Arabidopsis thaliana: one gene and its partner. The protein of the gene in region 1 purifies or fractionates together with the protein of each later gene. This does not show direct contact. Each region holds a gene or a part of one and is shown on either strand. Other genes may lie near its edges. The genes, in order: ACLB-2 and AT4G10320.

Region 1 (15,661 bases):
TTAATAGATTTAAATAAATTTTATCTTATGTACATTATGTTGAACACATAATAATCATATCGCGTCTTTACTTTTATCCAAAAAATTATATCGCGTATCATCATGCTTTAAATATGATATTATTAAAAATAAAAGATTATATTACCTAATTGAATATAAATCGATAAAATTTATACCATGTAAAGTAATGAACAAAAATTATATAAAATGATATATTGAGAAAATAAGGATTTATGTAGTGAACTTTATGTTGAGCTATATTTTTTTGGGGGGGGGGGGGAATTTGAGCTATATATTTGAATTGGTATTCTATGTAGTGAAATGATAAATTCTTACCATTTTTGACTGGTATCCTGCAAAATAAAAGATTATGGAACTTTCAAATTTTTATCAATATTTTACTCTGTTTAATTAGTACTTTGAAAAGTAACAAAATGTAAATTGATTTCTGCATTTTTAATCTCATAGCTTGTAATGTTATTAAAATAACAAGATAAAATATAAGAAAAAAAAATTATAAAACTTGTACACTCCAATAACATATAAAATATTTTAAATAAGTCAAAATTTAATCGATTTGTTGTTACGCGTTGCAACTTTATTACATATTTTAGAAAATTTGTCACGTGTCGGACTCTAAATAGACTCTTTCAACTATATAATAAAATACTTTGCCTAACTAAATATGAGCGATGATGTTATCTTCTATCCATCTATAGACATGAACGTTGTCGTTTGCATCCCAATTATGTAGAGTGGCTTTGTAATAATAAACTAAGAAGAGTTTGAGATGGAGAGATTTACGCAATGTTCTCTATTCTTTGTAACATGATCTCTCTCTTTTAAAGTTAGTAGAGAAAGAATTAACACAGACTTAACTCTTTTCTCTTTTTTTCGAAAAAAAAAAAATTAACACCAGAAAAGAAAATAATTTGGAGTATGTATTTCTATATGGCATATATACTACATATTGCTAAGTTTTATTAGTTTGGAAAAAAAAGATCCAACATTATTAATTAACAAAAATATGATAAATAACAATTAAAGAAAATGTAACTACAAAAGCTTGTAATCATAAATCATCCACGTAGATACGTCATATGTAAGCGTTAAGCAAACTTTTTTTTTTTTTGGTAAAAAGTTAAATTTTATACCATTTTAAGATTTTTGACAGAAGTTACAGAAAATACAAGAACGGATTAAAGCACACTACAGAAAATTAAAAACAACATTACTACTCAAAAAACTTCGGATTGCAGCTGAGTAATTATGACTAAGTTGCGAAGGGAAACACCGATTTCAAGTCCGCGAAACTTGGAAATTTGCGTGATTGCCACAATACCGAAGTATTGGAATCCTCATCGTTGTTGCCACGAGCTCAACTATCTGAGATCCGTCCACAAACCTCGAGATAGGTGCCTACAGATTCTCAAAGAACTAACGCAAAAACGTAAAGACAACCGCGGACTTCTACACTAACTCGTTGAGTTAGTGATGCCACTTAGACCTATCCGCCGCCTCTATTCAACCCTCGGTGAACATAGCCATAACACCCAAAGGCTCACCTTCACCAAATGAACCAACACCGACAACACCATGAACAACAAAACTCCACCTGAAAGCAAACCAGAGATGAAGCAAAAGGGACGAAACCCAATGGACACAGAGAATCCATACCCATGGCCGAAGAGGCTACCACCCTCAACTGCCCACCAATGGAGGAGAGACGTCGACCACCAAACAAAACCCACAACGCCACTAACCACCACGAACAATCCACAAGAGCCAAACGACTCCTTGGATTGCCTCCACAAGAGAAGCCCGTCGGATCAATCACACCATCACCAGAGCTGGAGAAAAAACAGGTAGAGAGACCCGAGAAGAGAAGATCTGCCACACCGAAAACTCACCGTTGTGCCCAAATCAAAGAAGAACGACGATGTCTGAAGAAACATGGCGATGCACCACCAATTTATCAGATCTGGAAGATGGTCCCGTCGATAGGAGCCGCACAACCGCTACAGTCGTCTCATCAAAGCCACTGCCTTAAACGGAGAGAGACACGCCGCACGTCCTTTGCTCCGTGCGTGACCACTCGCCGCATACCACCAACAAGAGACGAAGAGCAAGCCAGATTTGAACACCACCGGAGCTTCAAAGGAGAGGCAGAGGAGATAAGAGAGAGGAAAGGAGAAGAGGGAGAAGCCCTCTCCGGCCACCGGTGAGAAGCACCGTGACCGGAGAGGCACAGATCTAGATTTGGTTTTGGTTTACTGTAGCGTCGTTCTCGCTTAATCAATCGCCGCGCGTGATCTTCTTTAAATACTTGAGTGTATATATGTTCCGCGTTAAGCAAACTTCTCACTCTGTTTATCAGATGTCATCCATAGAAATTGTCTAACAAATTGGATGATGTAATCATCATCATCATCATCATCATGAATCGTGATAACTACGAGAATATACTAATTGTCGGATCAGCAATTATCTATATTGAACCCATTAAAAGATTATAAATGTCTGTATACAAAGAAGTCGAAGACGATAAATCATATATATATATTCTGTACACATAGGTATTTGCTATAACGTTAGAAGGATTATAAAATTCTATATTTGAAACACTTGATTGACTTTCTAGAGCACACACAAAACTACTGTTAAAACAAAGAAAACAAAAATAAGAATGCAAACTTTCTTAATACGATAAACAGGAGCAAATGTTTTTATTTGTTAAACTTGATTTAGTTCACGTTCTTAGATAAATGTGTTAGAATTTGAGAAGTTTTATTTCTGTTTTGTACTTGTCTTCTTAAAATTAGATATAGGGTTCAAAAAAAAAACTTGCATGTTTATTCTATCATTTAGTTTATACACATACATTTTAAACTATAAATTAGGATTCTAATATGACAACAACACTTTTAAAACAAACCACTAAGTTTCAACCACAATTTGGAACTAATAATTAAAAAAATAATTAAGAAAGTTGATAGAGAAATATCAATGGCAAAAAAAAGAGAAACTACAACACTCCCTAAAACCCAAAACATTAAATTTCAATATATCATGTATATGATTACAAATTTAACAAATTTCATAAAAAAAACAAAGAAATATGTAACCAGTAGTTTAAACAATAATGGTGGTAATAGTCAATTGGTTAAACCTATTTAACTCCACATTTTCTACTGGAGTTTGACTTTATTAAATCACGTTATTTGGATAATAGTTAGGGATTATCTATAGATCAGATCTTATTAATGAAAATATGTCAAACAAAAATAATAATAAATTTGTTATCTAAATAAAACTTTTAATATACTTTACCACGTTATAAACACTTAAAATAAAATAACAATTAACAGCAATTTACATGTAGATTTCTGCATTAGTTTTTTCATTTTTTTCTAGTTTGTTCAAAACCTCAAATATCAAGATTGACTCAGACCCGAACAAAAGGTCCGTAGAACCTAAACAAATTTCTAAAACTAGCCAACCAATGAAGTGCATCTACTTTTTTTTTATGAAAAATAATTATATTGAAGTATTTTATTTATCTGATAAATAAATAATGATATATAGTTTATCGGTGAGCAGATAAGGATCGTGTATTTTCAAGTATTATATTAATTAATAAATTATCGCCCATCTTCTATTGTTTTGTATTTTCATTTGAAAAGAAAGCAGGGCTGGCTTATCAATATATACAGTCTCTTTCTTTTAGTTTACTAAAATCATTTCAGATAAGACCCACACAAAAGTAATATCAAATGGAATTTTGCTTTCAACATGGATAATTTTCTTTAATAATAAAATTGTCAACCATGTTAAGCGTAATCTCTAAATCCCCAAAATTAAAAACACTAAAAATAGTCGGTCATTGCTCCACGTTTAACCTGTCCAATTCCAAAAGAACTTCGTGTTTCATTGACGATATAGTTTACGTACGTATGATTCTTTCTAAATGAGGTATTTTTGTCCCATTAGCAATTTAAAATTTAAAATGGTTGTGTAACTTTTTGAAATGCTTAGTAGTTAAAACCGAACTAAGAAGAAATAATGATCGGAACGTGTTTATGTCAGCTAATGCATTACCCACTGACATTAACTGATCCAGTTTACTGATTTTAGACAATCATACTCTATTTTTACTGGAGTTGCAGAAAAAGGGACTTACAAAACGATGAATTAAATTTGGACAAGTATATATACATAATTAGAAGGTTATAGAATCTAGTTTTCGTAGGATATTTCTTGAATTATCCTACGAGTGTGACAACTAAATGCACAACAAAACAACAATTTAAATGCTAAAAAGCAAAAATAGTAATTACTGGTCACCTATTAAGGAACAACACCAACACCTATTTAGCTGTTATGTCCTAATAAAAATAAAATAAAATAAAAACAATAAACCAAAAAAGTAAAAAATAAAAATGTTTGACTAAAATTCTCTTTCTTTTCCGATTCGTCATTCGATGAATCTTCCTTTCTTATACAATTTGGATAATCTTTTCTAATGTAAAAATTCGAGATTTTTTTTTATAATGTTAAATCTATAAATAAGAGCAACCTAAAACGAACAACTTCTCCCACTTTCCTTATTTTCGATCTTATCCTTATCTTCTTCCTTGTTCTATTTCTCTTCTAACTAATCTCTTCTCTTCTCTTAAAATCAAACGTAATCATAAATAAAGATCTTCTTGTTTAATTTCTCTTGATCCTCGCAAAATCACAGATTCTTGAAATTCTTTTTTCTTGTCTTGAAATTCTTGAGTTCTTGAGTTATGAAAAGACAATGGACAGAGTTATGAAATGATAAATCTCAACCAATTCCTTGTTTATCATTCTATATCAGTTGTGATTCTTCATTGGTTTTACGTTATCTCTTGAACAAAAAAACATGGCAAACGCAGAGAAGACAAGTTCAGGTTCCGACATAGATGAGAAGAAAAGAAAACGCAAGTTATCAAACCGCGAATCTGCAAGGAGGTCGCGTTTGAAGAAACAGAAGTTAATGGAAGACACGATTCATGAGATCTCCAGTCTTGAACGACGAATCAAAGAGAACAGTGAGAGATGTCGAGCTGTAAAACAGAGGCTTGACTCGGTCGAAACGGAGAACGCGGGTCTTAGATCGGAGAAGATTTGGCTCTCGAGTTACGTTAGCGATTTAGAGAATATGATTGCTACGACGAGTTTAACGCTGACGCAGAGTGGTGGTGGCGATTGTGTCGACGATCAGAACGCAAACGCGGGAATAGCGGTTGGAGATTGTAGACGTACACCGTGGAAATTGAGTTGTGGTTCTCTACAACCAATGGCGTCCTTTAAGACATGAGATTTGTGTATTAGTGTGTGTTTTACTTTGGTCATTTTATAGTTTTTGTAATCTTTTTATATCGAATTGTTTCTTCTCATTACTTTCTGAATTCTGATACAATTGCATATCTTATTGTTTTCAACATTTTCATTTAACGTTATATGATTTTCGGTGGTTAACCCGAAAGAAAAAAAAAAAGTTTTTTTGGTACCTTGCATGTAAATGGCAGAACTGATGAAGTAATCAAAATTGAAGCAAAAAGTGGGGAAGTAGTATATGTTCTGGTCATAATTGAGTATTACCGATAAAAATTGCTTTGGTAACACGATAACAATTTTTTGTGTCAAATTTTTCAATTTTATGAATAATTCAAAATAATATAGGGCTTGAATGGTATGTGTCTTATTTGCATGTTCATGTGTTTCAAAACGTGATTTTGCCGAGTGTATACCATTCACAATAATAACCACGGAGTGATAAACCGTGAAAATTAATAAGCTATTTTCCAATCTATTTCGCATGTGTTAAATGTATAACTAACTAGTTTAGACAAAGTCATTTATTAAGTAGCTTTTTGGCGTGTTAAGTTTATTCCGTTTTGAATTTTGTCGTCCTGGTGATTCCGCTATTGTATTGTTCAGTTATTCAACTAATGTACCAGTCAAGTCTTTACCCCTTAGTTTAGAGTTTTCTCGTTTTGATGGGTTTGATTGGTATGTGAGATGGATAGCTGAACAATAGAATAACTAAATAATGGTTAGCTGAATGAAATGAACTAAAGAAAGTTTATGTAGAATGATTATAAATTGCTAAAAAAAACTAGTTATTGTAGATTAATCACGTTTCTTAGTTATAATTTTTAATACGCTAGTGCTATATAATGGAATCATTTTTTTAAACATGAAAACGTTAAAACTTGATAAAATTTTGAAAGGTAAAAATAGCGGAATCACGTTTTAAAAACGTGACCACGTGAACTGGTATACGGTAAACCATTCAAGCCCATAGATTAATGAAAATGTGATAATTATAAGATTTTTCTATCTTTTTCAACATGGAGTATTCTAAACGCGTAGGAGTTTAATTGATTTTAAGTGATTTATTTGTCTATAAATGTTATATATATATTCGATGTATAGAACAATAGATGAACTATCATAAACCATAAAATTCAATGATTTCAAATATGATCGAGGTGATTTTTTAGCTCTAGTGATATGTCTATCAATTTCAAGAAAAATCGCCTCCTTAAACTGAAACAATTCGTAGAGCATATCCGTTCTTTGTAGGAGTATGAAATATGCAACCACAAGTCCACAGCAATGGTCAGGAATGAAATATGCGACCACAAGTCCACAGCAATGGTCAGGAAACCTCACAACGGCATAAGTTTATCTTCCCGATAATTCTTTTCGCTCAGAAAATAGACCATATGACAAGTCACAAAACAAAAAGTCCGTAAGACATAGTCTTAGTATGATAACGTTCTAGATCAAGCAAGAGAAAGTGACATAAGTATGCATATATTCGTGTAGAGCTCATCTATATATGCACAATAAATCTTTATCACTTTACTTCAATATATACGAACATAAGTTTTATTGCACAATTGATTAACCACTTTCACTTCCATAAGAAAGTATAAGCCAAAAAAAGAGTCCTCCTCTCTTTCTATCATTCTCTCCAAGTATTCATTAGTCATGTTTCTTTACATTTATTTATGTTTGTGATTAGGAAGAAATTATAACACGTTCTAACTTTTAAAATACTTCAAAAACACATTAAACAATGTTTTGATGAATGCGTGATTCACAATCTTCAAAAAATATTGCTGAATCTTGAAGACAAAACAGCCTATTCATTAACACCACCAGCAAGGACGACATGTTAACGACCAAAATTGCAATAAAATAAAACAAAAGATGTTACAAAAACAAATTTGTAATAAAAAAAAACTGTTAGGTGTTTCTCTTTGTCAATGTAAGATAGAGAAATCAATTTTGGGTAGAAAGAAGTTGTGAACTAACTACCTACCAATAAGCCACATGACTGTGAGAAGCTTTTGTTTCCCTCCCATTTCTCTATATTAATGGTGCTTCCTCTCTAAACCATTCCTCTCTCTTTCTCTCTACCACCATTTATTCTCTCCTTAATCACTGACTCGACTCGGGTCGTGACCAGGTCTGTTCTCTTCTAACAATTCGTAACTTTTTTTCTTAGATCTGTCTTGATTCCGATTCGTGTTTTTGATACCAAAGTTTCGATATTTACGAGGAGGGTTGCGTAAAAATCGGAACTTTTTTTCTTTCTCAATCCCAGATTCGTTAATGGAGTAATGAGATCTGTTTGTTAGTGATTATCGAATTAGTGTAATGTTGCCTAATTTCGAATTCGACATTGAGATAGGAACAATTTATAGCTTGTGGATCTGATCATTGTCTCTCTTTTGTTTGTTGTGATTCTCAGTTTTTTCTATCTGAGCTATGGCAACGGGACAGCTTTTTTCTCGTACCACACAAGCTTTGTTCTACAACTATAAGCAGCTTCCTGTTCAACGAATGCTCGATTTCGACTTTCTCTGTGGTAACATAACAATTTACATTGTCTAGTTTTCAGTTGGTTTGGATCAAGTTTTGATGTTAAAGATGATTTGCTTTTACAGGACGTGAAACGCCTTCTGTTGCTGGAATCATAAATCCTGGTTCTGAAGGTTTTCAAAAGCTCTTTTTCGGGCAGGAGGAAATCGCTATCCCTGTTCATGCCGCGTAAGTTTTGAGAATGTCATGTGAGTTCTTGAGAGGAACTAACTATGTGAAAATTTTGTTTTAACTTGTTTTCTGTTATACAGCATTGAGGCAGCTTGTGCTGCGCATCCAACAGCGGATGTATTCATCAACTTTGCATCTTTTAGGAGGTTTGTTATGAGAATTTCATGGAATAAACTTAGCATTGCCTCTTTGTGATAGTTTTGTTGATGTTTTCATTCTTTCTTCTGTTTTATAGTGCTGCTGCTTCATCCATGGCTGCTTTGAAGCAGCCGACTATTAAAGTTGTGGCAATTATAGCTGAAGGTGTTCCAGAATCAGACACTAAGCAGCTGATTGCGTATGCTCGTGCAAACAATAAGGTGTGTTTTGTGTGATGATTAGCTTCAGTTAACCGTATGGTGAACTTAATTTGTGAGACTGATTGAATTGGTTCAGGTTGTTATTGGACCGGCTACTGTTGGAGGTATTCAAGCTGGAGCCTTTAAGATTGGTGATACTGCAGGAACAATTGATAACATTATCCAGTGCAAGCTATACAGACCTGGATCTGTTGGTTTTGTCTCCAAATCTGTATGTGCTGATTTTGCAAAATTTCATAATCTGCCTAAAGCTCACTTTGATGTCTGAGAGTTTTATTCGTTACTCTTCTTTTCCCGCAGGGTGGAATGTCTAATGAAATGTACAATACTGTTGCCCGTGTGACTGATGGGATCTACGAAGGTGAGTTTTAATGTAAGATAATCTACTAATGACGTATTAAGCTGAAGATTGTTAACACTGTTTTATATTTGGGGGATTGTTATAGGCATTGCTATTGGTGGAGACGTGTTCCCAGGATCGACTTTATCTGACCACATCCTTCGGTTTAACAACATCCCACAGGTATATACCAATCTTCAATTGTTTAACCTGCTGCTCGCTGGAACGCGCCTCTGGTGGTGGAGTTTTGATGTTACAAATTGAACTTATATTCACTCTTTCAATTCATTATGCCTTAATTCAAGAGCTATGTTGCAGATAAAAATGATGGTTGTACTTGGAGAGCTTGGAGGAAGAGATGAATACTCTCTTGTTGAAGCTTTGAAAGAGGGAAAAGTCAATAAACCTGTGGTTGCTTGGGTCAGTGGAACTTGTGCACGACTCTTCAAGTCTGAAGTACAGTTTGGTCATGCAGTAAGTGGCGCGGAAGAACTTTCAAAGCAATGCCTTTTTTTTATCTCTTGTACAAATCAAAATAGTTCTTGAACATGTTATATATGAATAGGGTGCCAAAAGTGGCGGCGAGATGGAGTCTGCACAAGCCAAGAATCAAGCTCTCATAGATGCTGGAGCTATTGTTCCCACTTCATTTGAAGCTCTAGAATCTGCAATCAAAGAGACTTTTGAGAAACTGGTTAGTTTTCCCGTGTTATTCGCTAGCTGGCATTGACTTCTGTTGCAATCTTATGTGTTCTTTTCAATTACTCTTAAAAGGTTGAAGAAGGAAAGGTCTCTCCTATCAAGGAAGTCATTCCTCCACAAATCCCTGAGGATCTCAATTCTGCAATTAAGAGTGGGAAAGTCCGGGCTCCTACTCACATCATCTCCACCATATCTGATGACAGAGGTATTGTTATGGACACTAAACCATATTCTAAGGAGTTGAAACACAGAGAAATTGGCAAATGAGTTACACAGAACATAGATTCATATGCCTCTTTAAGCCCATTTTCTGACACTAAACTACAAAATTTGTCTTCTCATATTAATCTGCAGGGGAGGAACCATGCTATGCTGGTGTTCCAATGTCTTCCATCATCGAACAAGGCTATGGAGTGGGTGATGTCATTTCCCTTCTATGGTTCAAACGTAGTCTACCTCGTTACTGTACAAAATTCATTGAGGTATCAGTTTCTCTCTTTGCCTTTTTAACCTATTCTTTCTCACTACATACATACTGTTACGTAGTGAAATTTGACTCTGGTCTGCAACTTTTGATAATTCTTCTGAATTAGATATGCATAATGCTGTGTGCTGATCACGGTCCATGCGTCTCCGGCGCTCACAACACCATTGTAACAGCAAGAGCAGGCAAAGACCTCGTCTCAAGTCTTGTCTCAGGTCAGTCAACATTTTTTTTCCCCCACAAAACACATAAGTTCTCTTTACCGTCCAACAATCTCTAAGAATGTTAAACCATAAAACAGGTTTATTGACCATTGGTCCCCGATTTGGTGGTGCCATTGATGACGCTGCTCGATACTTCAAAGACGCGTGTGACAGGGTAAAAGGCTATATCATTTTCCCCAATATAAATTTCTGAATCTGAATTGTAATTGGTATTAATAACATTGGTTGCTTGTTTCAGAATCTCACACCTTATGAATTTGTTGAGGGAATGAAGAAAAAGGGAATCCGAGTCCCCGGGATTGGACACAGGTAGAAAACAGAACATTGTACCAAAGAAACAGGCAAATCCACACAGCTTGTCTTGTCTGAAAACTGTTTTCTTCTTTATGGTAGGATCAAGAGCAGAGACAACAGAGACAAAAGAGTGGAGCTTCTTCAGAAATTTGCTCGGTCCAACTTCCCATCAGTGAAGTACATGGAGTACGCAGTGACAGTGGAGACATACACGCTCTCAAAGGCAAACAACCTCGTACTCAACGTTGATGGAGCCATTGGATCTCTCTTCTTGGACCTTCTAGCTGGAAGTGGGATGTTCACTAAACAAGAGATTGACGAGATTGTTCAGATCGGTTATCTCAACGGTCTGTTTGTTCTTGCTCGCTCCATCGGTTTGATCGGGCACACGTTTGATCAGAAGAGATTGAAGCAGCCACTGTATCGTCACCCATGGGAAGATGTGTTGTACACCAAGTAAAACTCATTTCAATCCTATTTTTGTTATTATTCCAATTAATTAGCCTTTTAAAATTCTTCTGAGAGATGTTTACTTAAAAAATGCATATCTATATGCTCTTCTTCTGTCTCTTTTGTTGTCATGTATGTTTGTTCACTTCTTCTTCTTTTTTCAATTATTTAAACTTTCTTTGTCTCTCTTTCTCTGTTACATCCAAATCACCATTTTTTGGGATTCTATGAGTCATGCTCATGCATGTCTATATCTTAATCGTGATTTGTCCTTCGAAATGTTGGTGATCTACCAAGTACAACTACCAAATTGTAGTCCAACCATATCAAAGCAAATATATATCTATATTACCAACTCATAGAATCTATAACCTCTCCTCTGTTTATGGATATAGATGCGTCGACGACGTTCTTTATTTCATCATTAAACAATATGTGATGTTTTGTATTCTGATTTTTCAAGTGATTAGGTTTTTATTTTGCATGTCCAAACTCTTTTTTTGTTAAATTCATGTCTAAACTTATATGAATAAAACAAAACTTCCCACCTATTCCTTCATTAGGTTAAGAATTCGGTTAAGTTTCTATTTTCAGACACGTAATTTGTTTGGTGCCATACTTCTTTTTTTACCAACTACTCTAATATCTTATATGAGGAAAACATATATGTATATATATATATATATATGGTCAAATATCTATATAGATATAGATATATATTTGGTCAGTAACTTAAATATCTTAGATGAGCTAGGGATCTTGTTGTCCACTCGCTACAGAAATTAATTTTGATTAGGATGGGTGTCGAACTGTCGAATCTTCTAAGTATCCGTGACTTGATTTTTAAAAGTTTGGTTATAAATGAATGTATACATGTAGATTTTACAATGACATTATTGCGAGTTTTAATACATGTAACAAGAATGGTCACTGGATTATCCATTTCAAACTTCTTATTTTTTGATTACCTCCACAAAAGAATAATGATGAGATGGAGAAAAACAAGAGAGAGGGGGAAAGAGTTGACATTTGGAGCCAATAAGAGCTTGGACGCACGCGATCACAAGATTTAATTAAATTATTAAGTGTATTCTTAATTAAGCACCTTCATTTCAGTGATGACGACGTTAATTTGCATATTATCAAAGCTATATCGATGGAGAACTAATATTTTTCATTACAAACAACGAAAAATTTACATATATATCAAAGCTAAATCGTTGGGGAACTAATATCTTCATTAGAAACAACGAAAAATTTGCATACTAAAGCTATATCGATTGAAACATATATCTTCAAGGATTATTTTCTTGAGAAGATAGAACATGTCCATCTTCAAAACAAAACCCTGTATTATCATGTACCCGTTTAGATTATTTTGTTTTCAGTACCCGTTTTGTCAAATATGTGTATATAATTCATTTTACTTTGTAACTATATTAATGTAGGAGACTTGGAATTATTTCTGTAAAAAAAAATTTTAGTAAGAGCATGCATGTATCTACTTTATCTTGAAAGTCAAAATTTTCTATTATAAAAAACTTGTTTATTATCGTCAATTCTTCAAAATAGCATACTTCTCAAAAACGGAAGTGATAATTGGAAATAACTCAAGAGAAAAAAAAACGTAAGTAATGAAATAACTCATTGGTGATTCCCGTCTCTGATTTGATCCAGACTTTACTCTCTTCCTCCACGTTAGCTCCAAAGGTGATACTGGACTTGTTAAAATTGATTCTTTGCCTTGTAGCATTACTGTAAATCTTGAAGATATTCTTAATCACAGCCACCTCATTTCTATCCGCTTTACACATAAATAGACTGTCATCTGCGAATAGAAGGTGATGGATAGCTGGTCCATTTGGAGAGAACCTGATACTACTGATGAGGCATTGACATTCAGCCCGATTCATAAGGTGAGTGAGATCTTCTGAGCACAAGACGAACAGAAACGGTGAAAGAATATCTAATTGATTAGAAGTGAGAAGGAGACCGAAGTGATCATAAACATGATCCATTGCACCCATTTCTGATGGAATCTCAGCGCCTCTAGCAAAGCTTTAACATAATTCCACTCCACTTTGTCAAAAGCTTTTGACATGTCTGATTTGATGGCTATGAACTCTTTTGACACAGTTCGATGAGTATGCAACCCGTGAACAACCTCATGAGCTATGAGAATGTTATCTGAAATCAACCTATCAGTCACAAAGGCGGATTGATTAGGAGAAACCAGATCAGAGAGAAAGGGTTGGAGACGTCTAACCATAATCATTGAGATGATCTTGTACAGAACTGAACACAAACTTATAGGTCTCAAATCAGACATCTTGACAGGATTTTTCTTTTTTGGCAGCAAACATAACTGAGTGAAGTTCCATTCTTTAGGAAAGGTACCTTGAAGAAAGAAACTCTGCACCTCCAAAATAACTTGAGATCCTATGATACTCCAATATTTCTGGAAGAAAAAACCAGTAAAACCATCAGCTCCCGGAGCACTAGAGCTTCTTATCCCAAAAACTGCCTCTCTCACTTCATTCTTAGAGACTGAAGCTGTAAGCACTGTATTCATTCCATCAGTGACCCGAGAAGGATAATCTGCAAAAAGATCCTCAAAGCTGCGAGGGTCCGAAGATGTGAACAGTTCTTTAAAATAAGCTTCAGCAATAATCCCTTTTGTCGCCTCATCTTTGTGGAGATTGCCATTAACATCACATAGCTGATTAATATTCTGCTTCCCTCTGTTGTCTTTTACAGAAGCGTGGAAGAAAGAGGTATTCTTGTCACCACTATGCATCCACTTTGCTCTGCTTTTTTGACTCCAAAAGGTTTCTTCATCTTGATTTGCTTTACAGAGATCATTTTTGAGAGTCCAAACCACCTCAGTACTCGGGAAAGCAGAGGACTGTTCCACCTTAAGCGCAGCTCTAGCCTGAGTAATTCTTGTCAAAGAGTTGGAGTTGTTCTCCCTTTTCCACCTACTCAAGGCTGACCGACAATTCTTCAGTTTCTCCAGCACTAAAGGCCTATTCTGACTATGAATCCCATTCCAAGCTTGAGAAATGACTTCTTTCACATTCGGTTGGTTGAAAAGTCTTTTATCAAACCTGAAATTTCCCCTATACTCCTCCGTGATCTTAAACAGTCTAACAAGAACTGGCCGATGGTCAGAACCTCTCTTATCCAAAAATTCTTGAAAAGAAGCTGGAAAAGTCCTGAACCAATTCTTGTTACCAAAACAACGGTCTAGACGACTTTGAATCCACATGTCACTTCTCTTACCACCCCACGTAAAGGGATTACCTTTACTTGACAGCTCCAGCATTTCACAACTCTCCAACATATCTTTGAAGGGTAAGAAAGCAGAATCTCCCCTTCTAGGACCACCTCTCTTCTCTCCATTATGCAGAATGGCATTGAAGTCCCCTAGCATACACAAAAGTTTTTAAACAAAAGTTTTCACTACCTTTTCTCTCTCTAAAAGCTCTCTTTTCTCTCTAAAAGTAAATCTAGATCTCAGTTTGCGTTGGTTGGCTCCGGTGGCTTCCATAGCGCCGGAGCTATGCCTCTCTTGCTCTCCTGTAAACTTTATGGTTCTTTTGTTTGGTTTATGTGCGTTTTAGTGTAGTGATTTAAGGTGGTTCTTAGATGGCTCATGTTGTTTTTGTGGGTTGGTCGTCTCTGTTGCTTGTAGCGCCTCTTGATCCGATTTGGTTTAACCTTCTTCTCGTTTAGCCTATTACCAGGTATGGTGGTTGCTTTCGCTTCTGTCCGGTTCGATCTCCTACCGTTTATCTTCTTCGGTGTGGTTCAGATTGATTTGGTTCTCTCCTTGTCTCTACTCTAAAGATCTTATCGAGATCTCATATGTTCATTGGCTGGTTTCCTTTGAGGCGCTAAACAATCATATTCTTTGATTTTGCCGCTCCGGGAGTGTAGGTGTGACTTGTCGTCTTTGGCCTAGTTCTTCTCGCCGGTATGGATTCCTTGGAACTCTTCTATGTAAGGTAGTCTTCATCGTAATAGGTGGCACCGCTGTCCGTTTGGTTGGGAGTTCCTTATCCCCTACGGAGTGGCTTGATGTAAAGCTCTGCCTTTCCTTTGTCTGGTAATGTGGTTGACGAGATATTGTGTTTAAACATTGGGTTGTTTTGGTTGCTTCTTTGTTTCAGTTTTAAAATTTTTTCTTTGTATGTAAGGTTTGTTTTGCCTTGTTTGCTTCCCTTTCCTTTAGGCTTTGTTTCCGAGATTATCTTTTAATCGTCGGCTTATATTTCTAGGGTTAGTTGTTAATCGCCGGCTTTGTAATTTATCGAAATCTCTATAATAAATTTTCAGACGATAAAAAAAAAAAACAAGAAAATAAATAAATAAATAACATGAACGACAAAAAAAGTTTCACATCGATGATGATTTTGTACTGTAGTTTTGTACGGTCATAATAGAAACAAACAAAGAAGTCCAACCAATGGGAGACTTTAAATTTGAGAGCTTGCCAAAAAAAGATAACTTTTTTTTTCTTGAGTAATTAATGGAAATGGGTTGCATGCAAAATTAATTGCGTGGGGTCTTGTATTTAAGGATAGCTCCTTAAAGTATATCACTACACTAAATCACATATGAGATTTCTAATTTATTGAGCGTAATATGTGTTTGGAGTTATTTTTAATTCGATTAGAGAATTTTGTTAGTCTCCTAGTAGTATAAAATACAT
Region 2 (17,257 bases), on another chromosome or scaffold:
ATCATTTGCATGAACTCGAAATATTTAGATCGAAAGGTGCACTTATTTCGACATAATTTTCACATATGAGGTGATATGCATGCACACATAGGTGCAGTTTTACGAATACATTAAACTAAAACAATTGAGATATAGTGAAATTAAATGGTTGACATTTCACTACAGAAACAATAAAAAGTCACCGCATGAATTAAAGTTGGTTGACATTTCACAACAGAAACACCAAACATATTATTATCTCACGTAATGTAGTTTGGAAAATTATCAAATCATTTACCTAATTTTTTTTTTTATGAAGCAAACATTTTCCTAACTATTATTGTTTATTCCATACCAAAAAAAAAAACGTTTATGATTTATTTAAGGATTTTTTTAATTACTACGTAAAGGCCAATCATGCATGAGTGGGGTGGTAGAACCATAGATTTGCATTAGTTTTAGTGCTATTCTTTTGGCTGAATCCACCAATTAATCAGCTTAGCAATTGAAAGCATATTTTATTAACCAAAATTAATTTTAACATATCTAACGTGGTCCATTTGGTTAAAGTATTCACTCCCATGGATTGAGGAAGTAAGATTTAAGTTATAACCATGCTTGGCAATTATACATTTAATGAATAGTTTGAATACCAAGCTAATTTATAATTTTTGGAGATTAATTAGTATTTATTTCGGTAAATCATTCTTGTAACAAAAAAAATACTAATAATATAAAAAATTGAGATTGTGAAGTTTATTTTTTCACCACAAACACAAATTTCATAGAATTTTTCAAGGTTTCCACAAATTAGTTTACGCTCTTAAAATAACAAACAAAACAAAAAGTAGTATGCTTGTCAAACTTTCCACAAAAACATTAACGCCGGAAAACTTAAAACAAATAGTCATAATACATCTTTATTAAATAAATAAAAAGAAGGCATAATACATATATAAGTTGATAAAACTCTCCATCACTTAAGAGTAATTTTTTGATGTTTTCACTTAGAAGAATTTATATATATCTATATTAACCATTAATTAAGGAACCTACAAGAGAATGTGGTAGCTAGACAAGATTTGATAGAGTGAATCAGAATATATGTCCATGGTTTTAGATTCAGTAAAAAAAAAATGTCCCTTCAATGTAGTGGAGACTGGAGAATGTCCCTTCATCATATTCACAAAGCATTATTCTCTGTTTTTCCATAAAAACTTCTTTGGACTAATTAAAAAGTAAAATATAATTGCGTTTCCAAGGTATCTTCCTCCATACACTTTATTTATGCCGTTGACGGAACAAAAGACGATAGAGAAAGAAGGAGGAGATGATGATTCCGAAAATGGAAAGAAAGTTAAAAAGAGTGGACTCATCGTGTCACAACTTTCCTTTTTGACGATATGTATCTTTCTCATTTCAATCACCGAAAGGCAAAATCTACAACGTGATCCGATAAATTTCAACGTCCTTAACATCACTCTCGAAGTTATCAGGTATGTTTCTATATCTCAAGATTCTTTAACCAAAACCAAATAAAAAAATTGTTTCAGCAATATATAAATCTCTATATTACATATCATGCATCCATAATAACTAAAAATTTCAAAATATTTTCAAACAAAATACGTCATCTAGGTGATACATTATTCTACAATTTGACAACCCAAGTATTCGTAATTCACCTAACAAAAAAAGAGGACGTGAATAAAATCGTATAAGAAACATATATACAGTAAAATCTCTATAAATTAATAATGTTGGGACTGCAAAATTTTATTAATTTAGAGAGATTTTTTACTTATCGATAAATTAATAAATTAATAGAGAGATCTTCATAATTTAATAACTTTGAAAAAATTTCTCATTATAGAAAATATCTTTCTAAAATCAATTACAAGTAAAAAATAATATCATGTATAGAAAACAACACCAATATGTTTTGATATAGTAAAATATTAGAACTAAATTTCAAATAAGAATATATACAAATTTAAGCAAAAAAATATCAGAAATATATTTTTAAGAAATTTCTTACATATAATGTATATATATAGTTGATATATTTGTGCAATTATTAATTTCTGATATTGATGGACCATATATTTACATAGGACTTTCAAAAAAATTATTATCTAATTAATTTATCGATTTATGTCATTTTTTATACTACTCCCAACTCGGGACCGGAAGAATTTATTAATTTATAGAGGTTATTAATTTATCGAGTATAAATTTATAAAATAAAAAGAAACATATATATATATATAATATATATATATATATATAATTCACTCATTATGAATTGATTGTGAATTAGAAGTTAAGAATTATCAACAAAATAAGTTTTGTAATGGCAGTGCATATGGAAACGTTGGTTTCACTACCGGGTACAGCTGTGAACGGCGTGTGGACATCAGCGATGGTGGCTGCAAAGACGCGAGTTATGGGTTTGCAGGACGATGGAGTCCAATGGGAAAATTCGTACTAATAATAGTAATGTTTTATGGTAGGTTTAAGCAGTTCACAGCCAAATCTGGCCGCGCATGGATTCTTTACCCCTCGTCTTCCTAACATATTTCGATCATATATAAATGTTATATTAAAATTAGTCACTTTTAGCATTCCTTTTCTGTGAGTGATGTACAATAAGTTTGTATGTAGTTTGCATCATCGTTAATCCTCGTTAATATTATGATAATGTATGAAGATATAATATAAGGAGTATTGTGTGTCATCTTGTGTTTCCTGTTGTAACTTGTAATTCGAAAAATTAAACTTTATCTGTTTGATATGTATCGTACAAATAGTAACCAATCAGTAATATATATACAGGAAAGTTACTTAAAAACAAAAACCAAAAAAAACATAATGGAATTGAATAAAGAAATATATGTGATTGCTAATATGGGAGGAGGCAAAACACATCTCCACTCTCAGTTTGACACACATGTCTTCTTTTATACATGTTCAGATCCAGATATCATGTTTCGATGATGAAACTGCAAATCTCCTTCCATATGTTTCATCCACAACTCTCTCTCTTTTTTTTAGGTAAAGGAACCTTGTATTTCAAGTGCAGGATCCTAAAACTAGAAGCTTGTGCCACGGATCCTCTTTCATTTCGAAGAATCCGTGCATTGTTCATTACTTTTGTGTCGTGAATAAAAAGAATTGGCTGATGGCCGAGTCAAGTAAATGATCATGAACATATATATACCACAAACGTATCATGATCATCACATGTTTATCGTTTTTAGTTAAGATCTTATAGATAAGAAAAATAAGTTAGAAAATATTACGGAAATATATATGTGATGATGATGAACGTATGACCTTGATTCTGATCGATTAATATTGAAACTACACATGTTAGTAAGACCCTGATTCTCAAAACCGATCTAGCATAAATCCGCAAAAAAAAAAAAAAATGCTAACCAAAATCTAAAATATAGGTCTAATTAAGTTTATTACTTTATGTTTTTTAATCTTAATATCATATCTATTTTTTTAATTGCTTTATTTTCAAATTTGATTTGCTTATAAACAATTTCGAAATGTATGAAAACATAATTATAAAAATGAAGTTAAATGGCGTAAATTAAGTGCACGTAACTTTGGTGAAGGGTGGTAAAGGAAGCATGATTTGACAATGGGTCTCTTCCATGAACGAATATGATCAGATTTTTTTTTTGTCACTTGACTAACACATCTCTGATCTCTCTAGACATAGTTTCTAAGATTTAATGTTACCTTCAATGCTTTTAACGAAAATCTGGATCCTTTAAAGGTAGGATATCAAATGGGTTGTCCATGCCCAAATGAGCAATGTCTAAATTAGACGAAACCTAAAAAGAACCATAATAGATTGGACAGTCCATGAATCCAAATAATACATGATATCATGAACACATTTATTCAAAACTCCATACTTAAGTCTTAAGTGTTTCACACAATGATATAATTTCAATACTTCATAAGTTTAATATTAAAAATATAAGTACAATACTTCATAAGTGTAATATTAAAAACTATGGGCTGCCCATGTCGCTTGTCCAAAAGCTGACCATAATTAAATGGACATAGGCATCAGGAATCCCATGGTTTTAAGACCCAAATGACAACCGAAACATTAATCAAATTTTGTTAAGGTAATTTCAGATTTTAACAAGATTCTTGCCTTCTCTGTACTAAAATCAATGTTCAACTTTGGTCACTGGACTCAATCACATATCTGTCCAACCATAAATTTTGAGATGAATAAAAGTTTAGTATTGTACAAATAGAACGAGTAAAAGAGAGTCTCAACACTGAGATTTAACTTTTTGCAACAATCTAAATAAGTAGTTTATAGGTAAGATATGGAAGAAGAAAAATAAGGGAAATAAATCCCAAGTTACCACAATAAATCAAACAAAACCGGAGGGACGGCTCATGCGTTCCTCTTGCTCAATAAGTCATCGCCGACACTCAAATGGAGATGTTCGCCAAGAACCACAGTCGCAACAGGCACATTTTCAATGCAGCTTACAGTTATCTGCCATACAAGATACATTAAAATGATAAAGTAAACGATTTGGGTTAACAAAAGCTTAACTAACGAACCTTCCCATCTCCGGCTTGGAACTCTGACTTCAAATTCGAATGATCCCTTGATAACAAGTATGTTTGAAGCCCGGTTGCAGATTTCACATCTCCTGGAACCATAAATATACACGTTAAACAGAAAGCGAGAGAGAATTGACAGTGAGAATCTATTGTGATGAGATGGTGACTCACCTGAGTATAAAGCAAGAACAGCCTCTTCATTGAACTTCAAAGCCGGTCTAGCCAAACTTATCTTATACGACAACTTTGGAACCTTTTTGACACTCTCATCGGATGTTTCTTTTGGGGTGAATGTCTCATCGGCTATTATGACCTGTTACATAAAAGATAGGAGGATAAACATTAAGCTTCTGCCGTGCAAATAAATAAGCAGATATGGGAGTGTTGATGACTTACTGCATGTGATGGCATTAAACTAGACAAAAGTAAAGTGGAGCCAATTGAATCCTTGATGTTTTGTTCCTGTTCAACAAACAACAGTGATGAGACAGAATTAAGGCATGTGGTTGAAGACATTCATGTTGGAAACATAAATTTTCGTTTGATCCATAGCTGAACAAATAATTACGTACAAGCAATGAAACATTCGTAAATTTCAAGTAGAATTTAAGTTCAGATGAATTGAGTAACAAACAAAAACTAGTTACCTGAGAGACTAGAACTTGTTTAGAAACAGATTCATCCTCGTCCAATGATTGGAAGTACACTTCCACAAAGTCTGTTGGTTCCAGACCTGACTTTTTCCTTAGTTTCTGGATCCTGTTTACAATCTTTAACACAGGGAAACTAAGCTCATAAGCACAACATCGCTTTATATGCAAATAAAATATTAAGATACTGAAGAAGAACCCCACAGAAGATATACAAGTTATAAGAAAATGTATTGCTTTGGTTTCATCTAGGACTAGTACACTATTAGAGAAGTTATATATCTTTACCTCACGGGCAAAACCTGCTTCAACCAAAGAATCATCTGCTCGTAGATCCAGAATCACCAAAACATCACCTGCATCATGAAAGAAAGCAAGTATTATATGTGTATCCTACCAACAGAGAAGTGATAATTAATTACGCTTCTTACCATCTCCAGCTGAATCAATCTCATTCTCTTTCAAATCGTCTGGGCGTTTGAAAACCCTAACAATCTGAACAACACATGAAAGATATGTGTCAGAATTTAGCTATTAACAACATACTCTTAACGCTATCTCACAGGAAAACATCATAGCATGAGAGACCTTGATATCTGTTTCCTTTAGCAAGTGGTTAGCAATAGTAACTTCCCCAGCCTCCTCAAATGCTAAGATATCTTTTTGAGACATTTCTTTAACTTCCTTTGCAACAAGCCCCATCGACTTTCCAAGTCGCTTTCCCAATACACTGCAGGAATGAACATGTAAAATTTCACTCTACATCCCTTTGGAAAGGCTAAAGCACATTGAGCTCAGCGGTTTAAAGAAAAACACAGACAGAAAACTTAACCAACCTGAAATCTGGTTCTGCTTTTAGTGATGCATACTTCAGAGTATCATTGCATGGTACAAGCGATCTCACGTTAAGTTCTTCCAAGACATACTGCAATGCAAAATTAAACAGGATAAATCCACATAGCTATCATTGGCTGATATCAAATGGTTCTCAATAATCTCAAAAAGTTTCATATTTATAATATTAGTTAAAACTTCAAGAAGATAAACTACTGTTCCTGTAACACCACAGACCTCTCTTAGTACTCCAGTTATGTCATTTAAGAAATCAGCATCGGGATGGACTACAATCATTTCCCTGATACAACAAGGATAAGCATGTGTGAATTTTTTTTCATGTTTTAGGTTAACAAAGCAGAAACTGAAAACGATCAAGTACCAACACTCACTTTAGAGGAGTTTTCAAGGGTAGTTTGTTACGCTCACGAATGTTCCGAGCAAGATCAATGATTTTCATCATCCTCGTAACACTTAACTCAATCCTCTCCCCTTCCTATTCAAACACAGAAAGAAAATATAAGCAGGCAAAATTCAGATTACTTTTATTCTCTTATTGGATATAGAGACGTGGACTTGAGTCTTACCATTCCTTCCCTTGGTGGAATACTGCAGTAGTGAACACTTTCCTCAGAACCTTTACACGCTTTCCGCAGATTCTGGTACAAAGTTTCAGTGAAGAAAGGTGTAAACGGGGCCATCACTTTGCAAGAAGTAAGGAGCACCTGAAAATAGACAATAATTAGATATAACAAGTGTTCAAATCATGGTGACCACAAACAATATATCTCTGCAACTATTTTTAGTATACATTGAATAGAGTCGAAAGAGCAGTGTGACAATCATCTTCCCCCGTACGGCCTTTTAATCTCTTGCGGTTGAATCTGACATATATGTTAGTGAGATTGTCGAGGAACTTCAAGAGACGAGGAACCACCTAAACAAGAAAAACAAAAACCAAGATGTAATAAATACCAGGAGACAGTGATGGCGGTTTTCTAATGCGAACACCATATCATGCTGAAAATAACATGTAAAAACCTTACAGTGTAAAGCCGATAGGCATCCATCTCCTCGCGGACAAAACGAACAAGACTCTGCGTAGCTGAGTGAATCCACTGATCAAGAATGTTTGCTGACTGTATAGTTGCCAGATCAGTAGGAACAAAGGGCACACCACCTTCAGTCTCAAGTCTCTTTGCATTCTGAACGAGGAACCGATATGCATTGTACCATGGAAGGAATACATCTTTGACCTAGTGAATCCCAATGCAGGACCAGAAAAAAATTCAGACAACAACCACGAATAAACAGCAATAAAGCAGCAATAAATTCAACCACCAAAATCACTCACAACACCGAGTACTCCTTCTTTTTTGAAGCGTAGTGGCTCAGCACGTACAACCGGAGAATTTATCAGGTACAATCGCACAGCATCCTATCAAGGTTCATGTAAAGTCACTAAGTTATTACGTACACACACTGCCAAGATTTTCTTAGCTAGAGAACATTTGAAAAAGCTCAAAACGCAGCACAAGAGCATATTATAGGGAAAACTTACAGCCCCATACTCATCTATGACTTCCAAAGGTGGTGGATAATTCCGTAATTTCTTAGCCATCTTTTTCCCATCCTCAGCAAGTACAAGACCATTGCAAATCAGATTTTTAAACGCTGGTTTTTCAAATAATGCAGTAGACAACACCATAAGAGTATAAAACCTGTAGATACCCAGCGACAAGTTTAGTAACTATTTATTTTCTACTTAGGAAAAAAATATTGTTTATTATGCCCGTTTCAAAACACTTCTAGAATCACATTTCATAGTAAATTGATCACACCTTCCTTTAGCATCGACTCATAACTTAATTAAGTGCAATCATTGAGGTAACTAAGATCCAGATATCATAAAGTAGAGGGACGGAACAAACCCAGAGATAAGCAAGAAATAATTTGTCAGAAGAGCTTATAGGATATATCAATGTAGAAATCCACTCTTGAAAAAATATGAGAACTGAAATGATATGGGTTTTTTGCAACTATCTTGGGTTGACATGATAAACACTAACTAAGATTTGCAATACTACAAGGTAAAAGGTTTATTTCCATTCTCAAAGACCTTAATAAAAAGCAACCTTTTTTCATCACGTAACCACCAAAATATCAATCCAATAATTTTAAATGCTAAAGCTTAACTAATATTTCTCCCCACAGTCAAGATATGGAATGACATACCATCCACGAGTCTGATCAAGACCTTCAGCCACAAAATCACCAGGAAAGTTCTTCTCAAATAACTCCTTGTTTTCAAACGGATAATGGATATACGCGTAAGGCATTGACCCACTCTCAAACCAACAATCAAAAACCTGTAAAAGCGTATATAAACTTAAGCTTGGGATAAGACCCCGGATAAGTGATAAATGAAAGAAATTGGTTCATCTTACATCTTCTACACGACGGAGCACACCAAACTCATCGCCACGACTAGATGGAATTGTAATATGATCAATATGGTGACGATGCAGGTCAAAGACCTGTACCATAAATCATCAGAGAAACAAATGAGTATTAGACTTTTTGACAACTACATTCTCCAGTACTAAATAAAGACCAAACCCTCATAGAGTGTCATAAAGTTGACAGAACATATAAGGAAGACTTCTAGAAAAATTTATCCAACAGTTGAGTAGTAGCAAATGGTTGCATATAAAGGTACCGAGATCATGACAGTAGACTTTCCCAAAGCATCAGTGAGCTATTTGCTGATATAAAGAGAGATGTAAATAAAACAAAAGAAGAGACCTTAACACCAGAGAGCTTTTCAAGCTTCTCTACGGAATCCATGATCACAACTTCCTCCCCATCATCACTTATCCATATCGGAAGAGGCGTGCCCCAAAATCTACTTCGGCTGATTGCCCAATCCCTTGCATTTTCGAGCCAATTGTGAAAACGTTTATCCTGAATTGCACATTAATCAAAAAAATGTATTCATATCAGAAACTTAACAAAACGAACTAGTAATATATACTCAGAGTACTGATCCTTTCTTCTACCGACCTTCACATAACCAGGTACCCATTCTGTCTGTTCATTGCTTTTTAACAACTTTTCTTTCAACTGCTCCACACGCACAAACCTAACAGGTCAAAACACAAAAAAAAACTTTAAAGTCATAACCACACCTGAAAAACGACAGAATAAAGTTCATAAGTTATGACCATAACTACGTGCCATTTAGGTCAGATGCTACATATGAAATCTAAAATAAATAAATGAAAACATGGGAAATCAAAATATCCTAAACAGTTTGGTGATTATTCTGCAAAAAAAATACACAAAGATACCTAATACAGCTCCGAAAAGGGGCTGCCAGATATAATCATAAGAGCCAAAGTTCAAGGCAAGGACAAGAGAGACCGTCTCACTGGAACTAGCACTAAATGATCCAACTACTAAGACCTTAGCTCAAACTCATATGAAAATGAAGCATACCAACTTGGAACTGCTCTATATATGAGTGGGGTGTCTGATCGCCAGCAAAATGGGTATGAGTGAGTAAAGCTTCCCGTTTTAACAAGCCTGCCCTTGGCCTGAAATAATAAAAATAATATTACTTCATGAAACAAATCACCTACAGTAAAGAAATCCAATGGTCCAAAAAGCACTTAGATTCTCTAAGAAACAGATAAATCATTATGATCTGAACTGACTAATTATCAAGCATCGGTAATCACCTTAACGGCTTCAATTATATCCTTGTCTGCATCTTTGACATAACGGCCACTGAAGTGGGTAATTCTCTCAGTAAACAACCCATCATCATCAACAGCAACAACTAGATTCTCCCCCTGCAACATATATAGAACATTTAACACAATGAGATAAAGCAAGATTATTAGAGTAAACTGAGAATGGGTTCTTGAAGATACTGTAAGCCTAAACAAGAGAGAAACAACAAATGAGCAAAGTTCATGCCTGATGTTAGCAAGGGTGATAAGGAAGATGTAGTCAAACCTAACCTTTTTGATTATTTTGTTCAAAAGACAAACACGATAATCATCTTCACCAAAGGCAGGAGCACAGTGGACAATACCAGTACCACTGTCATCAGTGACATAATCATCTGCTACTACTCGAAAGGCCTCACTTGAGAAATCACTAAAGTAATCAAACAAAGGTTCATACTTCTTCCCAACCAGGGAAGCTCCATTAAATTTCTCCAAAACTTCATAAGAATCAGCTGCACTCTCAGGTTTAGCACCTTTAGCTTTAGGATTTGCTTTCTTAGTATCACCAGCAGGTCCATTACTTAACTTGGCCTTAGGCTTATCAGTGGGAAGAGCAGACAACCGAGATTCAGCAACAATGTACACTTTTCCAGTGTTCTTGTTACGAACCTTCACATAGACAAACTTCGCATTTACACACAAAGCAAGATTGCTTGGAAGAGTCCACGGAGTAGTAGTCCATGCCACAAAAGCAGCATTATCTTGATCCCCAATAACCGGAAAAGTCACCATGATTTCAGGATCAGGGACTTCCTGTACATACACACATTCTACCAATATCAGAGATCAAACTATACAACACAAATCAATCACCTGAAGAACACAATAACAACAACATTACCTTATAGTTCTGACCAGCTTCAAAATTAGATAAAGGTGTCTTACAACCAGTACTGTACGGCATAACCTGCAAACCAGAATTGACCCAAATACAAAAATCACGATCCACGAAACTTCAAAACCACATCAATGCAGGAAGAAGAATGCCAAACAAACCTTGAATCCTCTGTAAACAAGATTCTTCTCCCAAAGCTGAGAAAAAACCCACCAAACACTTTCCATAAAAGGCAAATCCATAGTCTTATAATCATTCTTAAAATCAATCCAACGACCACACCTAGTAATAACCTTCTCCCACTCAGCAACATAACGAGTCACAATACTCCTACACTCTTCATTATACTTATCAATTCCCATCTTAATAACTTCATCTCTCCTCTTAATATTCAATTTCCGATCAATCTCATTCTCAACAGGTAAGCCATGACAATCCCACCCAAACCGACGAGTGACATGGTGACCAGTCATGGTCTGATACCGAGTCACAATATCTTTAATCGTACCAGCGAGGATATGTCCGTAGTGAGGAAGTCCGGTGGCAAAAGGAGGTCCGTCGTAGAAGATGTACTCAGGAAGATTCTCAGTGCGTTTGAGCTGTGTCTTGAAAGCATCGATTTCAGTCCAGAAGGAGAGGACATCTTCTTCTTGACGAGGGAATGAGAATTCTTTTCCTTCGCATACTTCTTCCATGGTGGAAACGGAAGAATCAATCACTGACGAAAATTAGGGTTTCTGCAGAGTTTTTGTTCGGCGCAGATGATATCAAAGTCCCCGGCGTTGAAGATGAAGTTTTGGTGCGTTTTTGTTTATTAATGGGCCGTAGTAAGCCCATTAACTTGTTTGTTTTCTTTTTGGGTCAAACTTCCACTTATTGGTATTAAAAAATCGATTTAAGGAAGAAGGAAAATATTTTGACTATTATGAAACTGTCAAATGGTGGTTGATATACTGAACCAGATGAATTAGATGAATAATGATGAAAATATTAGATGAATAAACTGTTAAATGATGATCAATAAGATAGTAGTTTAATATTGATTAATATACATACTTTAATATAATAAGAAATGTACTAAAATCTAAAATCCAAGGCCAAATACAAAACAAATTGACGCTTTTCTAAAATAAAAACTGATTTATTTTTCCTAATTATGAGACATTGATAATTTTTATTTATTAATTTTTGGACATTTTTTGTCAATTATGGAACTTTTTACTAATTATAAGGTATTTTTGTTAATTATGGGGCATTTTTGTTAATTTTGGGGTAGTTTTGCTAATTTCGAGGCTTAAACAAAACAAAAATATCTGCAAATGGGTCGCAAAAATTTAAGACCCAATACAAATGTTTCATAATAATTGGTGAAAGTTGGACCTAAGTTTATATGAAATCATGTGGTCTAGAACTTATACTAGAATATATTTCAACATTAGTCCACAACATCAATCTGAATATAAGGGTGAGTTTCAAACTTTTCTTTAGGCATATATTATGTTCACATCAGATAAAAATTACATTGAGTGGCTCGTGAATACACTCAACAGAGTTTTTTTTAACATTAAAACATGCATAGAATTTTTTCAAATAATTTTCTCGTACAAAATATGCAACAAATAATGATAAACATATTTTTAAATGCAAAATAGTTTTATATAAAATGAAAAGAATTATTACTTGCGATAGAATCTATAAGCCTTAATCTTTTATCATTGTGCTTATAATTTTGTCCAATCAAATTTCTCAACCTTTATTGGTTTATTATAGACTCATTGCGATCGAGTAATTTTTACTTATTCTAGTTTTTCTTATAAATAAATCATTAATTATTGCTATGTGATATATTTTCTTTCAAAATATTTTATGAATCAATAATTTTAGTGGTTAAAAAACTATGTGAAAGTGAAAATAAAAACACATGTAGTTGGCTTTATGCATTCATATAATCATTTTATACGTGGTGGGAATGAGAATACTTCAACAAGAAAATATGATTGTGAGTAAACACATTTTTAGTGGTAAAGTAGACGATAGATTTGTAAATAGATGTAAATTAGATGATGATTTGACTAGTAATTTCCATGTATAATATTTTTCGAATAAGGAAAAAACGAATATATAAATAAACAATTCTCAAAATAAAATATTATATATTTATTTTCTACTTACAATAAGATTTTAATATATCTTTTTGTTAAATTTATTTTAGTTTTAAAAATTAAACATGCATATTGGATGGAGTTTAATCTAGTTGAATCTAAAATTTAATAGTTTTACGAAAGATTTGTTATTAATTTTAGTTTTGAAATTGAGAATAAAACTAATGAGGCATCAATCCATTAAATATATGTAAGAACAAATCTTCATATATTATATAATATGTTTGGCAAATATATATAAAGTAACTGAAAACAAAGTGAAAATTTGAGAATAATTGTGGGTTTTTTAGTTTTATGTATTAAAAAAAATGTTGTTAATGAAAATCCATATTATTATGATATAAAACAAATTCATTATGAATATAAACATAACAGATATCTTCTATAAAATTCATTATGATATAAAACAAAAGATTAAAATAAAATAAACATAACAAATATCGCTTGTGAAATGAGATCTATATGACTATTGGGCTGAAGTTGGGCCTTGAGAAATAAGAGTGCGCCTTATAATATAGGCCCATTTAAAGTATGTATTGGCGAATCCACGCCGAAAGAGAGAGCGAAAGGGACGATGAGCAACAGAAGAAGAACCGGAGACGATGACAAAGGATTGCTCTGGAAACTTCCCCAAGTTAGGATCAGAGACATTGGAAAAGTTGGTCCAGCTTTTGGACTCGGTGTCGGTTGCGGATTTGGTTTCGGCGCCGGTCTTATCGGAGGTAAATTTCTAATTTCTCCCAATTTTGATCGCAGACTCGCGAATCGCTCGAAGCTATTTATAGATAGTTTTGGTTTAAGAGAGTAGAGATTGGTTTGATGAAAACAGGTGTAGGATTCGGACCAGGAGTTCCTGGATTACAATTTGGTCTTGGATTTGGAGCTGGTTGTGGAATTGGTGTAGGTTTTGGCTATGGTGTTGGAAGAGGAGCTGCTTATGATCACTCTCGTTCTTATTACAACGTTGGAAAACCATCTCTGTGAGTATTTGTCTGCAATTAGATTTTTAGTGATTAAGGATTTGAAGAAGAAGATGATGATTTTGACTTTGGTGATTTGTTGACAGGAATGAAGTTGATTCACTGATTGATGAACTTGTTGTTAGCACGAAGAAGCTTGTGAAAGCTACTACAAATGAAATCGACAAGTGGTTAAAATGATGAACTTTTAGGATTTGTTGCAGCTTCCAAGTAAATGGTAGTGTTTGGTTTGTTCTTAGATCAATAATGTAGATTTGGGGCTAGTGATAATCTCCTTTCTTTTTGTACAATTTTACGTATGGTATAAAGATGGATTCGCATAATTTAGGTGGCTGATTTATCATTCTGGTAATGTGTATGGTTTGAGTGCTGATTTTTGGTGCTATGAGTTGTTCTTTATGGCTCAACTTGGATCAATATGGAGGTTGAGTTTGAGATTTTCTCTCAGTTTAAGGAGGTAGAATAGTGCGTATAGTGGCACAGTGAGCTCAGCTCTAGGGCCAAAGGGCATAAATTCATTATAGCTCTTTCGATTCTACCGTAGTACTGTGTGTGAACCGGCACTGTGAACCAAGATGATTAAATTTTCGTATTCTCTATGTACATGATCCTGCGGCTCAATCGCTTCAGTTTCGATCCACATGATGTATATGTTATAGAATTGTGGGAAACTCCTTGTAGAAAGAGTATGTTCACGTCTAGGACTAGTCGGATGATTCGTTTCTCTTTTTGGTGTAATGAGTATGTTCATAACTGTTGATACAATGTGAAAATCTAACCGTTGAGCTTGGGAGTTTTACGTCTATATGAAAATTCCGGTTGTCGTCTACATTACGGTAGTAAACAGGACCACAGTGATTCCAAATGTCCCAAGGAATTTACTGAAAACCCCAACTAGGACTGTGAAAGGCTTGTGGATGACATTTAACAGTTGAGATTTTCATGTGTTTGAGATTCTTGTAACACATTTTGCTGTATAGGTGAAAGCTTAGCCACACAAAAGGAGAAACAGAGGATATGGATAAAATAAATTATCCAACAAAAACCAATCTAAAAGCCACATCAGCATCCACAACCAATCAGAGGACAGAATCATATTTCACATTTTCAATCCAGACCAATCAAAATCCTGAACGAATCCTACTCTCCACCTTATAGGAGCAGTTTCGTCTCTTCCTCCTTCTTTCACTTAGCTCTTCCTAGTGTTAAACCAGAGTAAAGCTTGAAACTTTGGACTAAAAGAATGGCGTCTTTGGGTGTGTCGGAAATGCTTGGTACTCCCCTTAACTTCAGGGCAGTTTCAAGATCGTCTGCTCCGTTGGCATCAAGCCCATCCACGTTCAAGACTGTTGCTCTCTTCTCTAAGAAAAAGCCAGCTCCTGCTAAGTCCAAGGCTGTCTCTGAGACTAGCGATGAGCTCGCCAAGTGGTATGGTATGTGTCTTCTAAATCCCTTTTATAATCATTTCTTGCTCTGTTTCTTTGTGAATGTGTTTGTAATTGTGACTCTTATGCAGGTCCTGACAGGAGAATTTTCTTGCCTGATGGTCTTTTGGATAGATCAGAGATCCCAGAGTACTTAAACGGTGAAGTTGCTGGAGAGTAAGACACTTTTTCATGTCTCTCTTTGTATGTATGCCTACTTTTGGATTCTGTGCTTAAGGTTTATTGGTCTGAATCTGAATTTGCAGTTATGGTTATGACCCATTTGGTCTTGGAAAGAAGCCTGAGAACTTTGCTAAGTAAGTAGATTCTTTTATCCTAAACCTTTTGTGTTTGCTTTGAGCTATATCTATCGAATTTGTCATTAAGATTGGTTCTTTAATGAATGTGGTTGTAGATACCAAGCTTTTGAATTGATCCATGCGAGATGGGCTATGTTAGGAGCAGCTGGTTTCATCATTCCTGAAGCTTTAAACAAATATGGCGCTAACTGTGGCCCTGAAGCTGTCTGGTTTAAGGTTCTTGCCTACGTCTAATCTTTATTTACATTCAGACTTAGATTCTTTAGCAAAGCAAGAATGTGTTGATGTGATGAGATGGTTCTTTTTGGAATACTGATTGCAGACTGGTGCTTTGCTTCTTGATGGAAACACATTGAACTACTTTGGCAAGAACATCCCTATCAACCTTGTTCTCGCCGTAGTTGCTGAGGTTGTTCTCCTCGGTGGAGCCGAGTACTACAGAATCACCAACGGATTGGTACATTACTCTCTAGTCTCTACATTTAGCTATTACTCATGGGAAAATGACTAAACTTGAAATGCAAATATTTGGTAGGATTTCGAGGACAAGCTACACCCAGGAGGTCCATTTGATCCTCTAGGCCTTGCTAAGGACCCTGAGCAAGGAGCTCTTCTCAAAGTCAAAGAGATCAAGAACGGGAGATTAGCCATGTTTGCGATGCTCGGTTTCTTTATCCAAGCGTATGTTACCGGAGAAGGTCCTGTTGAGAACCTTGCAAAGCATCTCAGTGATCCTTTTGGAAACAACTTGCTTACCGTCATCGCTGGAACTGCCGAGAGAGCTCCCACTCTCTAAGCCATTTCTACTTTTTTTAAGAGCTTCCAAAATGTACACTTTGTTCGATTGGAACTCCTTTTGACAATGTTAAAAAAACTTCCATCTGAATCTTCTTGATATATTTCAAATTTTCAATGGTGCTTTATCATGCTTCTAAGGATATACATAGTCACCCATTGGTTTAATATTTGTTGTTACCAAGAACGCTCTGTCACAATTTAGTCATACATTGCGATTTTATCACTAGTGGCGAGTATGGTAAAAAGTTTCACAACTAATATTGTGATGGAATTTGGGACTATATAAGTTAGTCGAGAGATGTGATCCGTTGAACAATATTAAGTAGCAGAAGATCAAATAGCAATGAGCAGTAGCAGAATATTTTCACAACTAATTAATCATTCTTACATTGTAAAGAACTAGTATTACTCACTCTCAACAATTGCATGTCTCATACAGTAATACCGATGTGTCATAAAAATGTGAATTTTGCTTCGATTGCAAAACACAAATTAGTGTTTTCACTCTGTGAGCTTTGAAGTTGCAGAAATCACAACCCCAATTGGATTCTAAACTCTAGCTAGGCATGTACATTTGCTTCGATTCAAAATAAGAATGTTTTCACTGTCAGATCAAAGGTTCAATAAGTGATAACCATTTTAAGCAAATCAAGCATTTATATTGCTTGATATTTTGTCACATCTAACCAACATTTAACAATTACATTTACTTTTAACAAGTAGGTCGTCTCTACTTCCGACCACCGTCGGGATTAGAACTCGTCCTCTGGTGTAGTCGTCAGATTCCATGATCTATGTTTTTGTAAGGCCTCAGCCCGAGGCCCATTAAAGGGGTTTTGATTATTAATATTAGTATTATTTAAAAAAAAAAAA

The links.
Region 2: the proteins of ACLB-2 (region 1) and AT4G10320 fractionate together in Arabidopsis thaliana (co-fractionation; one large-scale study listed by BioGRID). This does not show direct contact.

The regions. Positions count from the first base shown.
Region 1 is NC_003076.8:20,047,239-20,062,899, forward strand, and holds ACLB-2 (ATP citrate lyase subunit B 2), read left to right. Parts: upstream 1-7,262; 5' UTR 7,263-7,507; exon of another isoform or gene 7,508-7,695; intron 7,696-7,792; 5' UTR 7,793-7,809; coding exon 7,810-7,909; intron 7,910-7,988; coding exon 7,989-8,091; intron 8,092-8,174; coding exon 8,175-8,240; intron 8,241-8,329; coding exon 8,330-8,453; intron 8,454-8,529; coding exon 8,530-8,664; intron 8,665-8,753; coding exon 8,754-8,814; intron 8,815-8,899; coding exon 8,900-8,976; intron 8,977-9,111; coding exon 9,112-9,267; intron 9,268-9,358; coding exon 9,359-9,487; intron 9,488-9,567; coding exon 9,568-9,700; intron 9,701-9,849; coding exon 9,850-9,977; intron 9,978-10,088; coding exon 10,089-10,194; intron 10,195-10,280; coding exon 10,281-10,357; intron 10,358-10,441; coding exon 10,442-10,512; intron 10,513-10,596; coding exon 10,597-10,957; 3' UTR 10,958-11,317; downstream 11,318-15,661. Other genes in the region: AT5G49440 (uncharacterized protein), read left to right, coding at 1,680-2,225; bZIP1 (basic leucine-zipper 1), read left to right, coding at 4,907-5,344. UniProt on the Arabidopsis thaliana protein: ATP citrate-lyase is the primary enzyme responsible for the synthesis of cytosolic acetyl-CoA, used for the elongation of fatty acids and biosynthesis of isoprenoids, flavonoids and malonated derivatives.
Region 2 is NC_003075.7:6,393,115-6,410,371, forward strand, and holds AT4G10320 (tRNA synthetase class I (I, L, M and V) family protein), read right to left. Parts: upstream 11,559-17,257; 5' UTR 11,396-11,558; coding exon 10,862-11,395; intron 10,773-10,861; coding exon 10,707-10,772; intron 10,619-10,706; coding exon 10,097-10,618; intron 9,926-10,096; coding exon 9,812-9,925; intron 9,668-9,811; coding exon 9,570-9,667; intron 9,214-9,569; coding exon 9,135-9,213; intron 9,036-9,134; coding exon 8,877-9,035; intron 8,609-8,876; coding exon 8,519-8,608; intron 8,441-8,518; coding exon 8,307-8,440; intron 7,793-8,306; coding exon 7,633-7,792; intron 7,510-7,632; coding exon 7,426-7,509; intron 7,328-7,425; coding exon 7,118-7,327; intron 7,009-7,117; coding exon 6,883-7,008; intron 6,797-6,882; coding exon 6,659-6,796; intron 6,568-6,658; coding exon 6,464-6,567; intron 6,373-6,463; coding exon 6,309-6,372; intron 6,163-6,308; coding exon 6,074-6,162; intron 5,968-6,073; coding exon 5,826-5,967; intron 5,733-5,825; coding exon 5,669-5,732; intron 5,594-5,668; and 13 more. Other genes in the region: HKT1 (high-affinity K+ transporter 1), read left to right, coding at 1,242-1,475, 2,340-2,553; AT4G10330 (glycine-rich protein), read left to right, coding at 13,437-13,584, 13,692-13,842, 13,929-14,022; LHCB5 (light harvesting complex of photosystem II 5), read left to right, coding at 15,086-15,275, 15,359-15,443, 15,533-15,583, 15,682-15,802, 15,909-16,043, 16,122-16,382.